Neurospora crassa OR74A: one gene and its partner. The protein of the gene in region 1 interacts with the protein of each later gene in a pairwise test. Links are inferred from orthologs where the notes say so. Each region holds a gene or a part of one and is shown on either strand. Other genes may lie near its edges.

Region 1 (3,569 bases):
TAAGACCAGTCTCTCTGAGAGGTCGAGCAAAAGGAAGGAAAAACGAATGTTGTTTTCCGGTTGTCGCAATTAGCAAGTTGTGCCGTCGATTAAAAGGTGACGAGTGGTAGCGGTGGTGTCGTGGTGCGCTGCCAGAGTGAATGGATGTTTGCAGGTGAATGCCCGGTCGCGCTTTGGAAACGAGCGGGAGCTGCACGCCAGGCGGGCGGCACGCACTGGCTGCGCAGGTGCAGTGAGTGGTCCTTATAACCAGTACCTCCATCTGGGACGGGATGTGGAGACGCTGCAGTGTACCTAGGTACCTCTAGGTACATACCAGTTTGGTGTTACTACAGGTAGGTCACTTCGTTATGGTATGCACACTGGCAGGCCCGGGTTGACCGTTGACAACTACGGAAACCTAAAGGCTGGAAAGACAATACCGATCAAGGACCGCTGATCCGGCGGACTGAAAGCCCTCTTTCATGGATTTGGAGACTTCAAGATCAAGGTGCAGGTGACGGAAACTTGAGGATATGTGGTCCGTGCTTCCAGGCCATCGACGTCCCCCTATTCTCAAACATTCGAAGACCCTCCAAAGGAACTTCTCTCCACGGTCAGCATCAAGAGCAGGATGCACACTGCTTCCTAAGTCACAGCGTATAAACAGTATCAAGACTTCCATTACCGGTCTGACACGTATGAGGCAATGTTCGTCAGGATTCCGTTCTGATTTCCTACATCTATAATATGGTGCCTGACGGCTAGGTGCTTTTGGCAAGATCAACAGTTTTCTGGAGGCTTGTTGGGAAGTCGAAATCGACTAGATGACGCCCGATGAGCACAAGTTTACCCGCAACTTGACCCTGACTCTTGTCTGGGCTATCAAAAATTTCAAAGATTTCCCTTACTCCCTGAACCATCTTCTCGCTGCCGTCCTCGAGCACCAACCGACCCTTCAATCGATGAATTTCGAAAGCTGGCCTGTCAGTAGCGTTCTCGTGTCCAGGAAGAATGTTCTCCCAAAGAATTGACCTCAGCCAAGCATCCAGTTTTTCGACTTGTGCTGATGTCAGGACCGGTAGAGGAATAGATAATGTTGATATCGTCTAAACTCAGGTTAGTTGGTCATATGAAATCAAGAAATGTCCAGGTCCTGCTAGCCATTCACGAGAGATGAAAGGGAGTCTCTGACCTTGTCGAGATGGCTGTGGCCCAGACTTGGCTTGTCCAATTCCTCCACGCGGTCATAAGCGTGCAGGTCGAGCAAGAATCCTTCCAATTCTGGAACCACACTCTGTTTGGTTATGTGGATTTTGGCGAGCCCGTTGATGGACGTGATTCTGTCCTGGACGGCCTGCAGCTCGTCCTCGCTGACCAGGTCTGACTTGTTGATTACGATGACATCAGCATGTGAAATCTGGACATGAGCGGTCGTCATGACTGGCCCATGCCCGTGTTCATCGGTCTCTTCGTGTCCCTCAACCTTGCCAGCTGGATCATCCAAGCTCCGCAGAATGTTTTTGGCGTCCACCAACGTCACAATGCCGTCGAGGTAGATGGTGCTTCCCAAGCCATCATCCATCCAGAAGAGGGGTGCAAGATTCCCTGGGTCTGCGAGCCCGGTGGTTTCGAGCAAGATGTAGTCGAACTTTCCTTTCTTTTCCATTAGGGACTCGATGGCATTCACTCCGGTGTCTCTGAGACGATCATATGTTGTTGGTCAGTGTCAGTGCACTAGAGCTGATGGGGACAAAGTGCTCAATCATCGGTAACTCACTTCACCGAACAGCAGATGCAGCCATTGCCAACTTCCATCCATTCCTCGACTGACTCGCCATCCTTGTTTACGGTGAGGGACTTTTCAATGTCCAGAGCTAGATTGAGCGTCAGCAGAGATATGCTGAGGGGTTGCAGCAAGAGGATGACAAACAGTCTCCGAACTCTACACAACTCATCGTCAGCTAACTATCCCAATGCAAGGCGAGGCCCGGGATGTTCAGCCATACCGTTCATGATGACGGCAATTTTCTTTCCATGCTGGGCAGTCAATATATAGTTCAAGAGCGTGGTCTTGCCCGCTCCAAGGTAGCCTGAGGTTATAATCAGCGCGAAGTCGACCACAATGAGATTGGTAGTAAAATGCATACCTGTTACTATGGTAATGGGAACCTTGACTGGCTTCTCCTCCTCGAGTATGATCTCGTTGGTCTCTATGAGATCCGGGGGAGCATCGTCGTCGTAGTCCATATTGAATTGAGGTCCTCTGAGCGGAGGTTCTTGGTCGTGGAATTACACAAAACGTTGTCGAGAAGTGTAGTGTTTGAATCACCTTACCCATAGGTTTCTCGCAGGGACCAGTGGTACGTATTTATACCTCTACCTACGCAGTACACTATGTAATGTTTGTCAGGCTGCCGGGGAGAACCGATGCGATTGTTGGCCCACGCCCTTTCGGTTACCAGAGGCATGACGCACATCTGTTACAGATACCGTATTTTACAGTCAGACAGCACGAGGAGCAATTGGGAGCTTGGGCACCTCCTTGATCTTAGCGCCAGGTACAGGGTGAGTTCCCCGTATTCCCGCCTTCCACTGGCGTGCCTGTAGGCTCGAAGCTCCAGCTCAGCACAGGGGCAGCAGGGGCAGTTTCCCAAGGAATCCCATTGACGGCACCGCCGTGGACCCCAGATCCCGTTCGTCTAGACTGTCAATCTACCTCCACGACCTCATCCAACTTCCTTTCATCCACGCAACCCAGCCCGTCTCGATTCATCTGTTCCACCGGCATATCGATCCGAGCAGAATCATCTACCATTCATACCGCTACCTAGGAAGTCGAGCCGAACTTGCGGGCGAATAGTACAAACAAGGGAATCGTTACGATAGACACAGCTGGGCATTGCTTGCGCGCGGTTGTAGCTGTCCAGCTTCGCGTATCAACTTCACCCATATCCAACATCGCGACCAAATAACGAAGCACCATCATGTCGCTTCCCCCGAGCTCTCCTCGACTCCCAAGCCCGCCGCCTGCCCCCGAGATCCAGATTGGTCCCACATCGCCAGCCATGGGCCCGATCGCCAACCGCCAGGCGCAGCAATACGAGATGCCTACGATAGACCTGCTGTCTCATCGTCGCATCCATCCGGGCACCAAGGCCGCCGACATGGCCGCCGGCCCTCCGTTGGTTCCTCTGCACCAGGTTCGTTCGCTGCCTGAAAAGTCATTGATCTCTTCAAGAACAAGGCTGACATGTTCTGTCTTGCGACGCGCAGCTTGATTCGGCCTTCCAACTCCAGGAGCACTTAGCAGCCCTCCATTGGCACCATACGGCCGGTAACACAACTCCCATCACAAGGGAGACAGCCAAGATTCTCGCAACGCCCCCTGCTCATATCGACAAGACGGTATGGCTGTATGAGCTGTGCCGCTTTTTGATCACACAATGCAACAACCTTATTGTTGGTTTCCTGTTCGATGAGCCGCCCTGCAGCGCTGCCACCTGCCCCGAGATGCGTGCAAGCGAGTGGCAGTTTTTATGTGCCGTGCATGATGCACCCAAGAGCTGCTGCGCGATCGACTATTGCTG
Region 2 (4,164 bases), on another chromosome or scaffold:
GGTGGTTGGGGGATATCCTGAACTTGGACTTGGCTGATGATGACGATGGGGCGATCTGGAACTCGCACCAGAGTGTGTCGATGTATTCTTGCTGGTAGTCCATGCGGGAGAACTTCATCAGGTGGTAGCGGACCGCGGAGTGGGCGCCATCGGCACCAATCATAAAGTCGAAGTCGACCTCGATTTCGCGGGCTCGGTCTCGTGGGTTGGAGGTGCTCTCGTCTTTGTTTTCGAACCAGGCCTTGTTCCGCTTGAAATCGGCGCCGGTGAGCTTGTGGTTGAAGAAGAAGGTGACGTTGGGCATCTCTTCGAGCATGTCGAGGAGGCGCTTGTTCAGGTCGCCACGGTCGATGGCGAGAATGCTCTGATCTATTCATCAACACACCTGCTCTGTAGAAAGGCAAAGGGGTCGAGGGGAGGGGTCTTACCCGTCCATGGATGTCGTAGTCTTGAGCCTCCTCATACAGCTTTCCATCTGGTCGCTTGCCGTGGATCATGCGGCCTCTCATGGGGATGGTCACCCCTTTGACATAATCGATGAGTCTTGGCTGGTTGGCATGGCGCATAGCATTGAGGCCGCGTTCTGAGAGGGCCAAGTTGATGGATCTGGTAAAGTTGAGTGGTGTTGTTGAGGGGTCGCGTAGGTCTTATTGTTTGTTAGTTAGCAGTGACATCTTGAACATCTTGGATCTTGACTCATGATGTATTGTAAAGTCAACAACGTAAAAAAGACAAGACTCACCACCGCGCAGTTCATAAATCTCAACATCGTGACCACGGTTGGCCGCATAAAGAGCAGCCAATGACCCGACCGGGCCAGCGCCGACAACGACGACCTTTTGCTTTCTCTCCTCCATTTTCGAAATTGAGTGATTGTGAGGATTTCCCAGCTTTGCCGGAACAAGTTACAGGTGGAAATCAAATATCTGGGTGATTACATCAGACGATTCACACTAAGATCCCACGAGACATGCAGTTCGATATTCGTCCGTGCGAGGCGATCCACTTCTACCGACGCCTTGCTGGTGCACTAACACCATCAACGGTTTAGCGTCCTTAGAAAGGTGGATCGATTGGGTAAGCATTCTGGTCCCTTGCTGGGTCTACTATGGTGAGATGGGTAAGTTAAACCTCCTAGTCAGGTCGATGAACACACAGTGCTCACGGCGCTTTCGCTGTAGTGGTCCGTGCAAGGTACCTGACATGGGGGTTAAACTTTTGCTCCCAACCACAGTATCCAACAAGAGCTCCACCCATCCCGGACCCCGGCAGAGCCGCCCAGCCCGCCGCTGCCCGCCACTGAAAATGGAATGCGCGTGGGACGACTTTTGGGAGGAAGGGCGCAGCGGACAGCGCCGCCAAAAATATTATTCGTCCGTCCACGCCAAGGGCCCGGCATCCAGACCTGTCGCCTTCCGTTTCGTTGTCGCTTCTTCACTTTGTCTCGCGCCCTTTCAAGAACAACGAATTCTCCCAACTAGGATACCCAACACAAGGTCACCAGGTACTTACTTTTATTTGCTCTTTAGACCCTGTGCCTCTAGACCAACTTCTACGCAAACTTGTCTCAGCTGTTGCTTCCCCTCGGCATCTGGCCGTCAAAGAACAACGAACTCTTTTCGACATCCTCGCTGTCAACCCGCGATCGTCAAGCTAACTTATCGGCCCCTCTTTAAAGCCTTTCGATAACCACAGACAGTGACACCACAGTCTAATTCGAGCGCACCACCACCATGACCGAACAACCCCCCGCGAAGAAGAAGTGCCTCGGCGCTGATTGCGAAAACGATGCCGGTTCCCTCCAATGCCCCAAGTGCTTGAGCCTGGGTATCAAGGGTAGCTTCTTCTGCTCCCAGGACTGCTTCAAGAAAAACTGGGTACGGCGCATCTTCTTTGGTTCCCTCATCCCACATACCTATGGATTTCCTCGACTAGATCCCGTAGTACCTTACTTAGACTCGCACTTGCATGCGAACCTTGATAGCTGACCCTTTGGGTGCCCAATAGAACACCCACAAGGAGCTTCACAAGCTTGCCAGTAAATCAACCCGCTTCCCCCTCCTCCTTCGCCAGAGCGCATATTCTAAAATTCTGCTCCAGGCCCCGAAACCTACAACCCTTTCCCTACCTTCAGCTACACCGGCCCTCTCCGCCCCGTCTACCCTCTTTCGCCAAAGCGCGTTGTCCCCAAGTCGATCCCCCATCCCGACTATGCCGAGAGCGGTATTCCCGGCGGCGGCCGTACAAGGTCCAACAAGATTGAGCAGCTAGACGAGAAGGGTCGCGAAGGCATGCGCAAGGTGTGCCGCCTCGCCCGTGAGGTTCTCGACATCGCCGCTGCCGCCATCCGCCCCGGCATCACCACCGATGATCTCGACAAGATCGTACACGAGGCCTGCATTGAGCGCAACTCGTACCCCTCGCCATTGAACTACAACTTCTTCCCCAAGTCGGTCTGCACATCGCTCAACGAGGTCATCTGCCACGGCATCCCCGACAAGCGCGTCCTCCTCGACGGCGACATCCTCAACCTCGACGTCACCCTCTACCACGAGGGCTACCACGGCGATCTGAACGAGACATACTACGTCGGCGACAAGGCCAAGGCCGACGCCGACTCGGTGCGCGTCGTTGAGACGGCCCGCGAGTGCTTGGAGGAGGCCATCAAGCTGGTCAAGCCCGGCACCCTGTTCCGCGACTTTGGCAACGTGATCGAGGCGCACGCCAAGAGCCGCGGCTGCAGCGTTATCCGCACCTATGTCGGCCACGGTATCAACAAGACCTTCCACTGCCCGCCCAACATCCCCCACTACGCTAAGAACAGGGCCGTCGGCGAGTGCAAGCCTGGAATGACCTTCACTATCGAACCCATGATTGCGCTGGGCAAGTACCGCGATGTTACCTGGCCCGACAACTGGACCTCCACCACCATTGATGGCAAGAGGACCGCTCAGTTTGGTAAGTGCTGTTCATGATTCAGTAGGCGGTGGCTGAGTGCTGGAATGTTCAACTAACCCTGCTTGACAGAGCACACCCTCCTTGTCACCGAAACCGGTGTTGAGATTTTGACGGCGCGCACGGCTGACTCTCCTGGCGGCCCGGTACCCATGCCTACCGCCGCTGCTTGAGTTTGGTCGGACGCTAAAAAGTAAGGTGTGCATCGTTATTGGAACAAAAAAAAAAGGCGTTTAAAGGGGATAATGTTGTGGTATAGACTTGTGCCGTAGCGTTCAATGCCTGAGTTGATACCCGGAGACATTTAAACGGGAAACCCAAAGCCATGGTCAGATCTATCAACATAATGATCTCACAATCGCAGAGCTAGAGGCACGTTACATATATAAGGTTCGCGCAAAGAACAAGTGTCTGGACGGATATTCTGGAAGATTCTTAATCGAGAGGAGCGGGATTTGGGATCCTCACTTCAAGGCGGACTCGGCGGTAGACTCGGCGGGTTGTGGAGAACCGGGCCCGGAGCTCTCTATCTCTCTCTGTCTTCCCCAAAAGCTGTTTGAGATTGTAAATGCTTGGATAGAGTATAGACAATGCCTAATGTTTCACCATATTTGAGGCTAATACTCATCACTTCGGTAGTCAACTGGAGCCATGAGGACTTGGGAGAATCATGCTTCTGAAAAGTGATGTAGCGGATCATCAAGTCGGCGAGGCCGAGACCGGGGATCGTCTCTATGCCGCTTTGCCCCACCTCGGCCGGGCTGGGCTTACAGGATAGTGGAGCTTTGCAGAAAGAAGCTTGGGCCAACCTAGCCGCCCAACAGGCTCCAGGGGCGGACTTGGCAAGTGGGCTCGGGCTGGCAGTTCACGGCGAAAAAGAGTGGAAGGAGGCCGGGGGGAGGGGGGGGGCACCTTCATCATCGAGGAAGCCCCGAGGCACCAGCACCAGCACCAGCACCACCTAGCTATCTGCCTTGCCCCCAACAACCCTCCTCCTCCAGACCTACCAACTGAACCTCCAGCTGTCTCCACGCAAGAACCGAGTGAGTCTTCCCACCACTGCCCGATTTCGCCAGTTTGCGACCGCCCTTTTTTTTTCTTTCCCAGAAAACACCAAATCCAAAGATCAACAAGACGGCTTTTCCCCAAGTCTTATCATCCCACCTCTATCTAACTTGGTACTTAACCAGCCTCCAAGTTTGTACAAGC

What was found.
Region 2: the proteins of NCU11371 (region 1) and NCU06923 interact in a two-hybrid assay, tested with the Saccharomyces cerevisiae proteins (2 studies listed by BioGRID). The link is inferred for Neurospora crassa OR74A from reciprocal best matches to the Saccharomyces cerevisiae genes ZNG1 and MAP1.

Annotation. Positions count from the first base shown.
Region 1 is NC_026504.1:2,285,269-2,288,837, reverse strand, and holds NCU11371 (COBW domain-containing protein 1), read right to left. Parts: upstream 2,376-3,569; 5' UTR 2,230-2,375; coding exon 2,130-2,229; intron 2,073-2,129; coding exon 1,989-2,072; intron 1,925-1,988; coding exon 1,913-1,924; intron 1,857-1,912; coding exon 1,760-1,856; intron 1,680-1,759; coding exon 1,175-1,679; intron 1,089-1,174; coding exon 744-1,088; 3' UTR 552-743; downstream 1-551. Other genes in the region: mob1-2 (Mob1 family protein), read left to right, coding at 2,967-3,182, 3,256-3,569. UniProt on the Saccharomyces cerevisiae protein: Zinc chaperone that directly transfers zinc cofactor to target metalloproteins, thereby activating them.
Region 2 is NC_026507.1:776,436-780,599, reverse strand, and holds NCU06923 (methionine aminopeptidase 1), read left to right. Parts: upstream 1-1,353; 5' UTR 1,354-1,733; coding exon 1,734-1,877; intron 1,878-2,007; coding exon 2,008-2,038; intron 2,039-2,100; coding exon 2,101-2,958; intron 2,959-3,027; coding exon 3,028-3,128; 3' UTR 3,129-3,619; downstream 3,620-4,164. Other genes in the region: NCU06924 (kynurenine 3-monooxygenase), read right to left, coding at 1-364, 429-646, 743-857. UniProt on the Saccharomyces cerevisiae protein: Cotranslationally removes the N-terminal methionine from nascent proteins. The N-terminal methionine is often cleaved when the second residue in the primary sequence is small and uncharged (Met-Ala-, Cys, Gly, Pro, Ser, Thr, or Val).